Linked DNA regions of Oryzias latipes. The protein of the gene in region 2 interacts with the protein of the main gene of each other region in a pairwise test. Links are inferred from orthologs where the notes say so. Each region holds a gene or a part of one and is shown on either strand. Other genes may lie near its edges.

What was found.
Region 1: the proteins of gpn1 (region 2) and gpn2 interact in binary tests that used the Homo sapiens proteins (3 or more experiments, as listed by UniProt). The link is inferred for Oryzias latipes from reciprocal best matches to the Homo sapiens genes GPN1 and GPN2.

The regions. Positions count from the first base shown.
Region 1 is NC_019874.2:9,884,021-9,891,372, reverse strand, and holds the end of gpn2 (GPN-loop GTPase 2), read left to right. Parts: coding exon 1-8; intron 9-99; coding exon 100-256; intron 257-327; coding exon 328-488; intron 489-4,043; coding exon 4,044-4,174; intron 4,175-4,363; coding exon 4,364-4,436; 3' UTR 4,437-4,688; downstream 4,689-7,352. UniProt on the Homo sapiens protein: Small GTPase required for proper localization of RNA polymerase II and III (RNAPII and RNAPIII). May act at an RNAP assembly step prior to nuclear import.
Region 2 is NC_019861.2:37,313,693-37,321,646, reverse strand, and holds the end of gpn1 (GPN-loop GTPase 1), read right to left. Parts: intron 6,382-7,954; coding exon 6,303-6,381; intron 6,232-6,302; coding exon 6,137-6,231; intron 5,576-6,136; coding exon 5,530-5,575; intron 5,458-5,529; coding exon 5,311-5,457; intron 4,646-5,310; coding exon 4,563-4,645; intron 4,480-4,562; coding exon 4,440-4,479; intron 4,370-4,439; coding exon 4,279-4,369; intron 4,208-4,278; coding exon 4,103-4,207; intron 3,199-4,102; coding exon 3,092-3,198; 3' UTR 2,754-3,091; downstream 1-2,753. UniProt on the Homo sapiens protein: Small GTPase required for proper nuclear import of RNA polymerase II (RNAPII). May act at an RNAP assembly step prior to nuclear import.

The DNA.
Region 1 (7,352 bases), on a different chromosome or scaffold from region 2:
ACTTCCGGGTGAGATGTCTCCATATCCAGATATTTCTGACTGAAAACCAGCTTTTTAGCCTGACACTTGATCTAAATGCTGTTGTGTCTATTCTTTCAGCTGACAGCAGTGCACATTGTGGACTCCCACTACTGCGCTGACCCAGCTAAGTTCATCTCTGTTCTGTGCACCTCTCTGTCCACCATGCTGCACGTGGAGCTCCCCCACGTCAACGTGCTCTCAAAGATGGACCTGATCGAGCAATACGGCAAACTGGGTATGCGTTCCGTTTACTAGCTCGTGTGAAGGTTTTCTCCACGGCGCTGACGCATCCTTGTGTTTGTCCAGCCTTCAACCTGGACTTCTACACGGAAGTGATGGACCTGACCTACCTTCTGGATCACCTGGCCACTGACCCGTTCTTTAAAAAGTTCCAGCGCTTGAATGAAAAGCTGGCAGAGGTGATCCAGGATTACAGCCTGGTCTCCTTTGTACCTCTGAATGTGCAGGTATTGCTGCTGTTTGTAAATGTTACTGTTTTTATCTAAATGTTACCAACTTTTAGTGATTTCTCTCAAATTATTTCAAATGAGTAAGTTAAAAATGGATGTTTTAAAAAATTATATTTTTCTTTCATTTAAGGTATTCTAATATGTTTGTGTTACACAATAACTGGTTATAAGCTTATAAAACACAAATGTTTTTTTTTTTTTATTGATGGGAAGCTTTAATCAGGAAAAAGCTTTAATTTTCATTTTTCCAGTTGATGTAAGGAATTTCTCTTCTGAATTTCTAAAGGTTGAGTTAAGTTAGGCCGCATTTACACTGCATGGTTCAAGTGACTCAATTCCGATTTTTTCCTCTCATGTGGCACAGATCGGATATGACCGGTGAATGTGTAAGCAGGACAAAAGCGCATGGATTCCGATTTTCTCAGATCGGATTCAGGCCTCATTCATATGTGGAAATAAATCGGATATGAATCGGATACGTGCATTTGCGTGTGCCATGTAGGCAGACAAATCGGATATTCCCCAGTAAATGCGAGTCGTACGTCAGTGACGTCAACTCAGGACATCACCAACTGAGATCACATGACTTATTAAGGTGCTTTTGTGCACTGATGTTGCTGTCAGCGTGTTACCTTTCAGCCTCAGGCTTAAGACCGTAGTCGGAAACCGCTGTTATTTCCGGTCCGGTCCCGGTCGGGACGTAAACGGTAACTAATGAAGCGGGACACCGTTGCTCTGGAACAGGCTAGAAGCCGGTTATATCTTTGCTTGTGTTTTTGCGGAGTGGGGGCGTGTATGATGGGGACCGCGCGTGGTGTGTGTGGGTGTGTGTGTGTGTGTTAGGAGAGGAGAGGGGATGTGACCACGGAGCGGGGGACTGTCAGAGAACCGTAAATCAAAAATAAGGTGTCCACTCTGGAGGCTGAGGGTTTCGAACGGGAAAGTGAACCCCGAAGTAGAATCCGCCTTCGGCCCTGGAGAAAATCTCCCGTGCGTTTCTGACCACGGTCGGAAAAAGAGAAGTCATCGCGCAGGAAAGGTTCAACACTTGGATCAAACTGTTAGTACAGCACGTCTGCAAACACTTCCTCATTCAAAATTCAGAGAGAGCTGAGGAGCCCTCCTTTTTCCTCTCCCGCGCATCCCTTCAGCAGCGCCCAAGACAACGCCTCCATCCGTCGCTGAGTTGCCTCCATGACAACCGCAGTCACAAAAGTCAGAAGGAGGTCCGCGGAAGGCAGAAATGCTGCTACGTAGTCCTCAAAACGTCTACGATTGATAGTTTCAGCATTGTATAGTGTGAAAGCAAAAATCGGATACGGGTCACTTTTAAAAGATGATGTAAGCGGGTCGTCAAAAAAATCGGATATAGTAGGAAAATCGGATATGAGCATCAAGACCTGCAGTGTAAATGCGGCCTTAATGTTAAACTTTCACATTTCTAGAGTCATTTACTGCATTTTATTTTGCTTAACAAAGTTAGTCTGGCTATCATTGTAGTTTTTGGACCTGAAAACGGGGAACATTTTCTGCAGGTGGATCTCAGTCCTGAAGTGTGTGGGCATTTGTTTCCTCACATTCCTCATAGATGAACAATGATTCTAAGCTGTGCGTGTCCACAGACCAGAGTCTGCGTGTCAGCACTTCAGATGGGACTGTTGTTTTCTTTCAGCAGATATTGTTATGGCTCTTGATCAAAAAGGGTGTGAATGGTGAAGCGTTTCCAGTTTTCTCAGCAATTTGTTATGTTCAACATTGACTTCATAAGAAGAAATGACCCTCCAGGAGAGGTAGAAATGAGGATTTTGTAGATTTGTGGGTTTGTGTGGTTATCTCACAGAGCCAAACCTTGATAAAACATTAGACCAATGACTTGATTTGAAGGTCACTTCACGCTGAAGATACAGTGGGGCAAAAACGGATTCTGTCAGCCACCAACTGTAAAAGGTTCTTCCACTTAAAAAGACGAGAGAGGCCTGTCATTTTCAAAATATGTAGACCTCAACTATGAGAGACAAAATGAGGAATGTAATCCAGAAAATCACATTGTCTGATTTTTAAAGAATTTATTTGAAAAATAAGTATTTTATCACCTACAAACAAGCAATATTTCTGGTTCTCACAGACCTGTAACTTCTTCTGTAATATGATCCTCTGTCCTCCACTGGTTACCTACCGTATATATAAGACACCTGTCCACAACCTCAAACAGTCACACTCCAAACTCCACTATGTCAAAGAGCAAAGAGCTGTCTAAGGACACCAGAAACACAATTGTTGACCTGCACCAGGCTTTGAAAACAGTATCTGCAATAGGTAAGCAGCTTGCTGTGAAGAAATCAACTGTGGGAGCAATTATTTGGAAATGGAAGACAAACAAGACCACTGATAATCTCCCTCCATCTGGGGTTCCCCGCAAGATCTCACCCCGATGGGGTCAAAATGATCACAAGAACGGTGAGCAAACATCCCAGAACCACATGGGGGATCTAGTGAATGACCTGCAGAGAGCTGGGACCAAAGTAACAAAGGCTACCATCAGTAACACACTACCCCACCAGGGACTCAAACCCTGCAGTGTCAGACGTTTCCCCTGCTAAAGACAGTACATGTGCAGGACCATCTAAAGTTTGCTAGGGAGCATTTGGATGATCCAGAAGAGGATTGGGAGAATGTCCTATGGTCAGATGAAACCAAAATAGAACTTTTTGGTAAGAACTCTACTCGTGTTTGGAGGAGAAAGAAAGCTGCATTTCGTCCAAAGAACACCATACCTACTCTAAAGCACGGTATTTTTGGCCCATTCCTCCATGCAGTTCTCCTCTAGAGCCGTGATGTTTTGGGTATAAAACAAAGTTTTGAGTTGAACTTTTGTTATTAACCAGTTACTTATTTTCCACCAAAATGTACAAATATATTCTTTAAAAATCAGACAATGTGATTTTCTGGATTTTTTTGTCTCATTTTGTCTCTCATAGTTGAGGTCTACCTATGATGGGCCTCTCTCATCTTTTTAAGTGGAAGAACCTTTTACAGTTGGTGGCTGACAGAATCCGTTTTTGCCCCACTGTATCTGCAGTGTGAAGTGACCTTCAAATCAAGTCTGGATAACACAGCTTCATTGGTCTAATGTTTTATCAAGGTTTGGCTCTGTGAGATAACCACACAAACCCACAAATCTACAAAATCCTCATTTCTACCTCTCCTGGAGGGTCATTTTTACCATCATATCTGCAGTGGAAGGTAAACAGGTGATAAAGATGGAGGTTTTGAAAACCACATTAATTTCAGTTGCTTTTGAATTCATTCATTTTCTTAACCTGTTTATCCCCTATAGGGTCACAGGGCTACCAGAGCCTAACCCGGCCACTGTTGGGCAAAGGCAGGGTACACCCTGGACAGATTTTATTATAATTATTATTATGAAGAAAGCACAAGCAGAAAAACACTCAGCTGCATATTTTTAAGGTTTCAGCAATCTATTGCAACAGTTTTGTGAGTGTCTCCAAGGGAAAACCCCCAGATCAGATGTTTTCTTCCTTCTTTCTGGAGGACAAAGAGAGCATGATTCGGGTCTTACGAGCGGTGGACAAGGCCAACGGCTACTGTTTTGGAGATTTGGAGGAGAGAAATCTACAGGCTATGATGTCAGCTGCGGTGGGGGCAGACTTCCATTTCAACTTGTATCCTTCCCAGATCCCTGCGCTGACTCACTGTGACTCATTTGTTTCAACATTAACTCAAAGAACAGTCCAGACTTTATACCGCCCTTTTTTTTAGATTCTAATGTTAGATTATTTCAAGTATAATCAAATTCATGTCTTAATAATAAGCACATTAGTTGCTATATTTCCTTAAGTGTTATTCCACAGCACACTTGGAGTTCAAGAGAGGTATGTTGAAACTGGTGGAAGGACCGTGGAGGAGGAAATGATGGAGCTGTAAATGAAGACTCAGAAGAGAAGGACCGCCGTACATTTGAAGACTCTTATTCAAGTTCTCATCTCACTGCCAGGATTTCACTACTGCTATTGAAAAAAAGGGAAGCCAGTGAGAAAATGAAAGCTAACTTTGCTGTGAAATATCACCTCAAATGAACCACAGAAGAGAGCATTCAGTTCTTCTAATAAAAAAGCTTTTTGGTCCTTTGTTTTATGAAATACACTTTTGTAAATAAAGCTTTTCTTTTGAAAGGTGTGAAAGTATTTCCTTTTTTAAGAGAAATTTTGAAATGCTGTGTTTAAAAAGTTACATTACATCATGAAATGCTGCCTTTATTTTATTAATCTGACATTTCCAAAATGCATTATTAAATATTTATTTCTTTTTTGTGGTTGGATGGTTCTTGGTTGTCCTCCTGCATCCACACTGTGAGAAGAATTTCTCCAAGAAAGAGACAGAAACCTGCATGTTTCCTCTCCTCTCTGTGTGATGGAACGAAATCCCTGCTGCTGCCTGCTCTTCTACAAACATCTGAACATTTTCTGTTTCCCAAAGATGAAGCGTCACCTCGACCAGCAGAGGGCGCATGCGCGTGCAGATGATCTCCCCCACCGATCCGCAGAAATCTGCTCCGACTCTTTCCAGCATCCGGAGCAGAAAAATTAAGTCAGGCGGGGAGAGGAAGCCACATTAAATCTGTGTTTCTGCACAACTGGCCCTGTGTCTGCTCTTTGGGATCTTCTGTCTTCATGAATGCAGCTCAAACTCCGCTGTATTTCTGCTTCAGTGTGAACCACTATAACCAATCCAATCCATGTTGTTTGGTCTCCTATTAAACCCATCTGAAACCCTCTCAGGCTGCCTTTTCCATGTCTGCACTTCTGCAGGGTTGCAGTTGGACTGACATAAATTCGTAAGCCACTTTGAGGACCCAAGCCGTTGTGGGAAATCAAATTAACCCTGTGTGGTGTGGCTGCTAATGACATGCGGGCACCGGGCAGCTTCCTGCCTGCTAAGCTGTGTGTGCATTAGGGGGTGTGTCAGGCAGAATGTTAAATTGTGTTTCTATGTTTGTACATGTGATCAAGTATCGCCCCCCTCACCGCCACTTCCTGCTTTTTTTTTCTTTCCTAACAGCCCCCTAGAGGTAGATAGATGTGTGCGTAAAGCGGAGCGCAGAGTAGAGTAGAGAGCGCGTGTGAGTGCGTGCGCGCCTATTTGTGTGTCGTGTGAGAATGTTAAACCGAAAGGCAGTGTTGTCCCACTTACATGCCAAATGTGAATTTCAACCAGTTGGATAAGGGGGGGAAACCAATAAGGATTTTGGGTTTTTATTTGGATCTTTTCTACCAAACAAGCAGTCCCTGAGACGCGCGCACGCACTTTTTCATTACCATCCCGCCCCTGCCCAATGCAGCGCGCACACCCAACTACCCCTGGCTGGAACGCGCCTGCTTTATTTGTCCTCCTTTAGAGGAGGTGCTGGGGGCCACACAACTCTGGAAAATGTTGTAATTGCTGTGAGACTTTGGAGGGAAAGCGAAAACACTCTGACAAACAGAAGATGCACGGGAAATGCGAGTTTACTTCAGCTGAGGGAGAACCTGCGCGCCCATCCCCCCACGCACAGCACACAGTGTTTCTGGTGGAGCGAGATACAGAGAGGAGAGGGGGTGGCAGCAGAGTAGAGCAGAGCTGAGCCGAGCCGAGCCGAGCAGGCAGGGGAGGGAATGTGCATTGGTAGTCTCTTGCTGCAAGGCTTCCTCCTTCTGTTCTGGAAAAACCTGTGTTGCTATCCTTGTCCAAATGAAACTGTGATAGGCAAGAGTGCACCAAAGCAAATCTGAAAGTAGAAAATACACAGACAAATATGAAAACTAATGTGTGTTCTTATTTATTGGAAGTATGTCATCTTATATGTCTCTTTGCACACTTAAAATAAGTAGCTAAACCATGTGGATTGTGACAATAAATGGCCTCAAAGATGTACAGAGTGGTCACAAAAAAGGAAAATCTGAGGCCAAATGTAAAAGATGATCTAAAGCAACCCAGACGACAACTGTTTGATCCCTAAAAAACAAAGTAGAACGAAAATGACTCAAAAAAAGACCACCTAAAATGAAATTAATGGAACTAAACAGTCTCCAAGGAGTAATAGATTGGTTTCAAAGAGCTGTGAAACCCAAGAGGGTATATTAAACTGAATGTTTAATCATGAGCCATGTCTCAAATTTTGAAAAATGAAGATGCAAATGTAAATAAAAAACAACAACAGCAATGTTTGGTATTTGGCTCAAAATTGTGAGGAAAAAGCTAATTTGATTTTGCTTTCAATATCTTTTAAACCATCTATCTAAACGAATTAATGCAGGGAATGTTTATGGGTTTATAAAGGTTTTTGAATCTATTGGTAGGAAATTGTTTGCAGAGCCTTGCAAAACAGTTATTCTTAAACAATTATTCTTTTATACATTTTCTTCTTCATGGTTACTCATGAAACGTTTTTGTACTAATGATGATATTTTTTAATCAAACATTATATTATTAGCTAAAAATATGTACTTAGGGATCTAATTTGTGTAAGTCTACGTTGAAAAATGAGCTCGAAAATGATGTTTTGAAGGCTGAAAGGGGGAAGCGGTCCGGTCCGCGCAGGCGCAGCTCCGCTCCGTGTTTTGCGGCCGCCCCCGCGTCTCGGTAAAATGGCTGTATGTAGCGGAGCCTCGTGCTGGTTGGGTTAGCTCCCTGCCTCTACCCGGGCTCAGTAACACAACTCCCACAACAATTTCTGTCGCTTCCTCACGCATTGTATGGATCTTCCATCACCTCTCTGACCCGTTTGTGGAGCCGGAACCGAAGGATGGCAGCCGGATTCGGCTAGAATGAGTCTTGGGAATGTATCGACACAAGGATGAACGG
Region 2 (7,954 bases):
TCGAACCAGCGAGCTTCAGAACCAAGGATTCCCCATTTATTTCAATGGAGGCAGAAATCCTGGAATATCTTGAAAACAGTGAATTAAATACTTTAAGATTCATTCCAGGCATGAAAACAACAAACATCCTTTTGTTGTTTTTGTCTGAATAACTGCTTTGTTTTCTCCGTCTCACAACATGAGGACATTTTTCTCCCGTGGTAAAAACATCTACTGTCTCAGTGTTGATAGATTAGCAGGAGATAAAAATGATGTATAATAATAATGATAAACATACTTTAGAAAACGGACAAAGGGGAAGTTTAAAAACGAGTCCATCCTTCAGGTAAACTAGAGGTTAACTAGTCTGAGGTTACTGAGACTAGAGGTTAACTAAATGCACCACAATCAGTGTGAATCTATGGCAGCTACTCGTTTACCAGGTCATTTTTCTGCAGACGTGTTATTTTAAACACACCCGTAATCTGACACCACCCACATGGTCATCTGAGACGCCATCACGGCCAAATGGGGGGGGGGGGGCACAAAGCAAGAGGAGAGGTTTGTTCAGTCCACCCACCTGTCAATCAAGAAAAACACCCACCCCTAATAAATAATAAAGGTTATGGTGTTTATGGTGTTTCTATGGTCAGACATCTTTATTTGTTCTTTGTGACTTTTATTAACTTCCTTCAACTTTTCGTTACTTTTTGGGAGAAGTTAGCAAAATTGGATCCAAACTGTTCCTCATCGTTCATTTCTGGCTGATGATCATCAGATCCTGAGCGTTTTTTCCATCTTTGTTGAAGTCGTTCTGGCACACGTGAACAGAAAGGAAGGTTTTCCAGCAGACTCTTATTTTGAAAGCATCGTCAAACCAGCAGAAAGACGCTTTAAGAAAACGTGGATTTTCTAACCACATTTACTGGAATGAAGTCATCCTCCAACTGGCTCCTTTCCATGTTGAACAATGAATTCATCTAATCCAACAGGATGTTGGGTTTTCAAAATAAGACCGAAAAGAAAAATCCAATCTAAAGATGTTTTATTGTTGAAACTAAAACATAAACATTTGGTTTCAAATGATGTAAAAACTGATTAGATTTAGATTTTCTTTTATGGTCATTGTCCATTGCATAATGAAATTGAAGCATCACCATTTCAGTACAAAAATAGAAAAATATAAAATTAGCCTAAATTACCAGAGGGGTTTATGCAAATACACACCTATTGTGTTAGGAAATCCAGAACCGCCCAAGAGGAAGCAGCTAAAGAGGATTAAGGTACCAACGGACCTCCAAACCCTCTGACCCCCCCCTGCCCTGGTCTTCAAGCTCCCCCCTTCTGATGTGGATGTTGTGGTTCCGATGAGTCCGGCAGGGACAGGATGTTCTGGAAAACGAGGTGGGGGTTCTCAGACCTCAGGTTATTTTAACGTGTCCAGGAGCTGAGCAGACAGACGGGAGCTGAAGGCGCCGTGTGTTGGACAGATTTGGCGGTTCTGGGTCCTCTGACACACTAGGAGTCTATTTTTAGTAGTAGGTTTGGGGGCTGTCATCTGGACTTGGTTTTAAAGTTAGAAGACGTTTCACCTCTTATCCAAGAGGCTTTGTCAATTCAGAATTAGCTGGTCTAAGAGCTCATGGGGGAGGAGTCAGACCTGAAACTGCATCTACAGCAGTGTTAAAAACTAAGTCCAGATGACCTTTAAACCTACTGCTATGATGGAATCAACCTGAATGAAAGAGTCTTCATAGACATAGGAGTCTATTTGCATAAACCCCTCTGGTAATTTAGGCTAAACTTGATTTATTTTGGTTCCATTTGTCTCTGTTTTTGATAAGGTTATTGTGATTCTGACTAAAACTGAAATGTAGTATTTTAGTTTGCAGATCTGATTCTTTTTCTTGATGAGACTTTTTTTCTCTGGTGTCTTTTTTCAGACTCCAGCTCCGAGTGAGTCAGCAGCTCTTCAGGCCGACCACGCGGCGAGTGGGCGCCGTGCGATGACAGATGGTGGTGGGCGGGCTGAATCCATTCATGAGAGCCCAAGCATGAATGGAGGAAGAACCGGAGAAGAAAACTGTGTGCCGGCCGGGGGTGGGGGTGAGGTGCTTCCAGAACATCAGTGGGCTGTTTTTCCGCTGACAGGAGATAATTGTTCCTGCATTTATGTCTCATCAACATCCATTCACCAAGCATGGAGGCCACGCCCACAAAACAATGGTTGTGCATATTGAGCATAGCAAAGTCGATCACTGCTAGCTCCACGGAGAAAGTGGGTGTTAGCCTGGGGGCGGGGCTGGAAGCGCAGACTCTTCCTGGAAGGGGCGGTTCCTCACTTTGTTATGTCACAATGTGAGGAACCGCCCGTTTTGTGGGTTGGGAGGGGAAACAGAAATGCAGGAAGGAATCAAAATACCACTTTGGGTTGTTTATAGAGAGGAATAAACATTATAATACACTTAAAAAGTGGATTTAGAGTGATATAGACCCTTTAAGGCGGGGCTGCATTTGGCCACTGGGCCGCACTTTGGACATGCCTGCCTTTCTCTACAGAGGAGCTGCCCTTTGGGGAGCTCCAGACTCAGTCTGGAACACCGTCTGTGCACTCGTATGACTTTTCAATTCCAAATAACTGCTGCCGTCATTTGACTACCGTACATTTTAGACCCAAAAGCCTAAATCAGGATTTTACGACCAAAACTGAGGCTAAACTACGTTAGGAAGTTTGTTCTCTCAAAGCTTTTATGGCCTTTAAATGTAAAACAGACTCGGGTGAGAAAAAGTGTTTAAATGAAATGTAAAAACTGAAAACACATTTGTTAAAATGCATTTCCTGCGTCTGGGTCACCGTCACATGCCGGCCACTGACTGAAGTCTCTGATGTTTATTTGTTTAGATCATAAATCTGTTCACAAACAAAAGCAAACAGTCATAAAACAAAAACATTTCCATAAAAAAATACTTTCTAAAGGAGCAAAGCAGCCGATCGGGAGCTCTGCATGGGGGTCAAAGGTCACCCCATCAGTCCACAGCTCTCACTGTGTGTAGACACCACCTGCTCGGTACATTAGCCTGTGCCAGTCCACGGTCTGGAGTCGCTCAGAGGTCACGGCGCCTCAGGCACGGCGCACTTCCTGTTCCGCACCTGAACCACTTCCCGTCTCGCCTTCAGGAAGTTCCCGAAGGCGGCGCTCTCTTTGCTCTCCTCCGTGACTGAAAGCACAAACGTTCACATGTTAGCGTCTCTGCGCCCCCTCCCTGATGGAAACATCCACACGCCTGGTCCAGAGAGGGAATCGAACGCGCGTCCTCAGCAGCTGGAAGGGTGGGGAGTGAAGTGAGCAGAAACTGCTGTGGCGATCACAGATGAGATCCAGACGTTTGGATCAATAATCAGAGGGTAAAGAATCGTTACAGTCGGACTGAACCATTGATCACATTAGCAAGGGGGGGGGGGGCCTGAATAAAATGTAATTCTTGGATTTGAGTCTAGACGTTCAGCAGCAGAAGACAGGTCTCCAACAGGAACAACTGGAGTGACGCTCCACCACAGCACAGACCTGTCTTCATGCAGAAGATCCTCCCGGTTGGCCTGGTGACGCCGGATGGCCTCCAGCGGCGCCGCTGATCTAACAGTTTGGACCGACGGCGGGTCAAACCTTTACGTTTGGACGTTTCATCTAAACGGAGGAAAATCTTCACGGTTCCGTTAAAATGCAGAGCAAACATCCCTAAAGACTAAAAAATCTGTTTTAATGTTTATGTAAATATGGAAAAAAGGCTCTTTATGGATTTTGCCATCCTTTAAGTTTCCTTTGCTTCGTTTTTCATCGCAGTTTTGCCGCCTTTTTCCCTCCAACACGTTTTCAAACTGAAAGTGTAAAGTGAAGCCAGTGAGTTTGTCCCTTAATGAAGATACTTTCTACAGAGATGTTTTTCTTTCTCGTCGTGCCTCATCTCGCCTCATGATGGCGCTCAGGGGCCGATAGAAGTTGATCACATTGTTCGATGACACAGAATTTGGCTCGGTTGCCACAGCAACCAAACAGGGGCGGAGTTTGTGATGGCCGCCTGTTTGGTTGCTTCTACGGAGTCCGTCCACCTTCGTCTTCCTCACCTGTGTGGTCGATGTCGTCGGTGTCGCTGTCCTCCTCCTCCTCGTCATTGTCGGGGTTCCCACGCATCATGATGAGGTCACTGGGTCCCGCCTCCTCGCCGCCCTCTGCGGTCGGACACAGAGTCAGTTGGAGTTAAATACAGGGTTTTTTAAAGAGTGGGCGGGGCTGTCTGCACCTGTGGGCGGAGTCCCGGTCACGTTCACGGCTCCCAGGTCCTTCCTGAGCCGCTCCAGCTGCTCCTGCTGCTTCCTGCTCTGCGCCTCCGCCTGGGAACAGGAGCGTGACTCAGAGAGCGGCCGGCGGAGTCGACCCCACACACAAACGCCAAACACTCACCAGCTGCTGGCGGAGGCGTTCGTACTCAGGCCGGTACTCTCTGGGGAAGGAGGCGGAGCTTCGTTACTTTCACCGTATGAAGCAGCAGAGGGTTTGAAGCTTCGTTATGCTTCCCAGACTCACGTCTCGTACTCTTTGGCCGCGTCTTCCACCTGAACGAACAGATCGTCCAACCCGCTTCCCGTGACAGCAGACACGCCCACCACCTATAGAGACACGCCCACTTAAACTCTGCCTCGGTTTGTTCTGTGCTATGAACAAAAGTCCAGACAGACTTTGAAAAACATCTACACGACACACGGCGTAACCTTCAGGAACCGGCAGGGAGAAACAGCAGAACACAAACAGCTAACAACGTTTAATGAACGACAGTGAAGTTAAAAAAGACGTTTCTACGGTGTTCTTCTCCGGTTTCCTCTCCTACAGCGCTCCTCACAAGACCTTTATTTTGAAATGTCAACAGAAAAACCAGGACTTTAACTGGATGTTCAAAGGCGCAGGGCTAACTTCAGCCAAACTGTGGTGTCAGAGGAGCACCGTGATGGAATAAACAGCCACAGCACAGCAGAAACCATGAAAACTGTCCAACCTTCCACACAGCTCTAAGCCAACGGCTGAAAACAAAGCAGGCCTGCAGACATGGATGTTCCTGCTGTGTTTTTTATTATAAATAACCTTTGTAAATGTTTTGACCACTAATACTAAAATGTTTTATCCTGAAGTGTAGCTCCTGTGCTAATAACTCTGGCATATTTCTGTGGAAGCAGCTGCTGAAACATTGATTAATGTGTCCTGACAGAACTTGGATTTGGTTCCCTGTAGATCTCATGGGTCAGCGCTCTTTGCACCTCTATGGACTCCTGACTCTCACCCTCAGGTTGGTGTAGAACTCGTCCAGAACCAGGCTCATGGACCGGGTCAGGTTGCTGACGTAGGACGTCTCCTGGTTCAGCGCGTCCTGGAAGGCCTCAAAGTCCTGCATCCACTCCACGGCGAAGCCGTGGTCGATGATGTCCGTCTGCAGAACCAACAGACAAACGGTCGGCGGCGGGAACGGCGGCGTGACGGCGTGGAGGCGGGACCGACCTACCTTGTTCATGACGACGATGAAAGGAAGCTTCGTTTTGTAGAGAATGCTGCAGAAAGAAGAAAGGATTCATTCAACAAACACCAGCAGGGGGGGCAGCAGGAGGGGGGGGGGGGGGGGATAAAAATCCACATCCAAATCAAAAGAACCACAAGAAGACATGAAGCTGGCGTCTGCGCCGACAGCGCCCCCTGATGGTTGGTTCTACTCATAACTTTTCTTTGTTCTGCTTTTTATTTCCAGTTTTAACGTATTTACAGGAAAAACTTGACAAAAAGCTTGAATGGAAATAATCCGTCTGTTCTGTGTCATTTTTTTATTTTGTAAATCGGTCAACTTTCCAGGTATGAGGGTCCACCTCTGATCAGTAAGTGGCAGGTTTGATTCCCACTCTGCCTGTTCACGTGTCTTTGGTTTGACATGGTGGTCCTTCGCATGGCAGCATGGTGTGTGCACGTGCGTGTGCATGTGTGTGTCTGGATGTAACGCACTTTGGGCCTGAATGAAGGTAGAAAAGCGCCGCAGACGCCGTTTACTGCATGTTCTCTGTGTTTGAGACCTGAGATGCAGCGCTGAGCATTCTGGGAGATTGAACTCCGGCTGCCTTTACCTGCAGGCGTACAGCATGTTGGACATGAAGGTGACGGGGTTGACGCTCCGGGACGTGTCCATCACGTAGACGACCACGACGGGAAAGGACGAAGCCTGAAACACAAACACAAGGTGACGACCACGACCACTTCAGGACGCCGTAGACGACGGGAGACTCCGCCCACCAGAGCCTCCGTGATGATGGTTCCAGACGCCGACCAGGTGAAGACCTCAATCTGACCGGGGGTGTCGATGAGGACATACCTGCAGGGGCGCACAAGACTGTCACCTTACTGGTCCACCAGACCATAAAGGGGCGGAGTTTCCGCAAACACTTTACATTTGGACTGAAAACAGATGTTGACAGTTAAAGGTTGTGTCTGAATTCCCGCCCAAACCCCTAACAACTAAAAAACTATCTAGTGCCCTGGAACACAAAAGCAGGTCGGACGCCACGCTCACTACTTTTTTAAACCGCGACTATGACATCACGATTTCACAGAGTGAAAATCTAGTGTTTTATGACGACCATTCATGAATCCACAGAGTTCAGATGAGGAAAACATTTTTAAAAAAATACATTTTTTCTCAAAAACACAATGCTTTATAAAAGCACACAGTCACAGCCACACACCAACCCCAGTCGCACACCGGTGGCACACTCTGCTGCTGAACACTGGCGCCAACCCCCCACCGGGGCAATGTGGGGTCTGGCGTCTTGCCCAAGGGCGCTTCCTAAGCATATGGGCGGTTAGGGCAGGAATCGAGCCTTCTGATCAGGAGTCGACCGCTCTACCACTGCACCACGGCCGACCCCCATTGTGGTCTATATTCGCAGATCTAGTGAGCATCGAGACTTCTGGGAAATTTCTAGGGCACTCGACTTTGGAAGTGTAGATTCTGACAGCACTAGAAAACGCAGAACGCTCTACAGAATGAGTAGGGAAGGAATTCAGACACAAGCAACGCCATTCTGTCATAAACATGAGTGTGATGTCATCAATCAGGTCATTTGATGTCACGCTAACACAGTTTACAGGATATTGTCGTGGATGGATGTAGGGATGAAGACAAACAAACACTGTTGAGTTCCAACAACCTACGATGAGTCTGACAGCCGTTCAGATCCTTCCAGGTCTCTGGTTTGGTGATGATTGTTCTGATAAATGGTTTGTTTGGTTGCCGTTAGCAACAAAATGAGACATTTCAACGAATCTTAACGAGACCACAAAGCAGACGTGACGTTTTTTAGAGCTGGTCATTTCTCATTAGGGGGGTGTATTGGCGAGAGTCTGGCGAGACGATACGTGTCATGAAGGGCAAACAAAAAAAGACTTAGAAGAAACTACCATTTAATAAAATGGTCAAATTCAGTTTATTTAATGATCATAATGTTAAGAAATGCTTTTATTTTGGTAACTTAAAATATAGAAAGGGAACAGTTAACATTGTCTGATTTCCACCACAAAATATTTTTCAGTATAAGAAAAATAAAGGAATGAATGTTTCTTAACCAATAAAGGCCCGTACACACCGGGACGAATATTCGCCAGGCGTTATTCGCCACGTTTTTTGTGTTCATACCCAGGCGATTTTTGCTGACGATGAGCCGAGTGAACATGCAATTTCATTCCCTGACATTAGATGGCGCTTAATGTAAACAGAAATACTGTACACAAGGTGGCGCTGCTCAACTTTACGCTTCTTAAAGTCGCTTTTCACTCAGAAGAAGAGAGCAAGTATTTACACGCTTGTCAGAATAATACAAAGAAAACATGAATAACATGAAAACATGAAATTTTCGGGAATATTTTTTTGGTTCGGGGATATTTTAGAA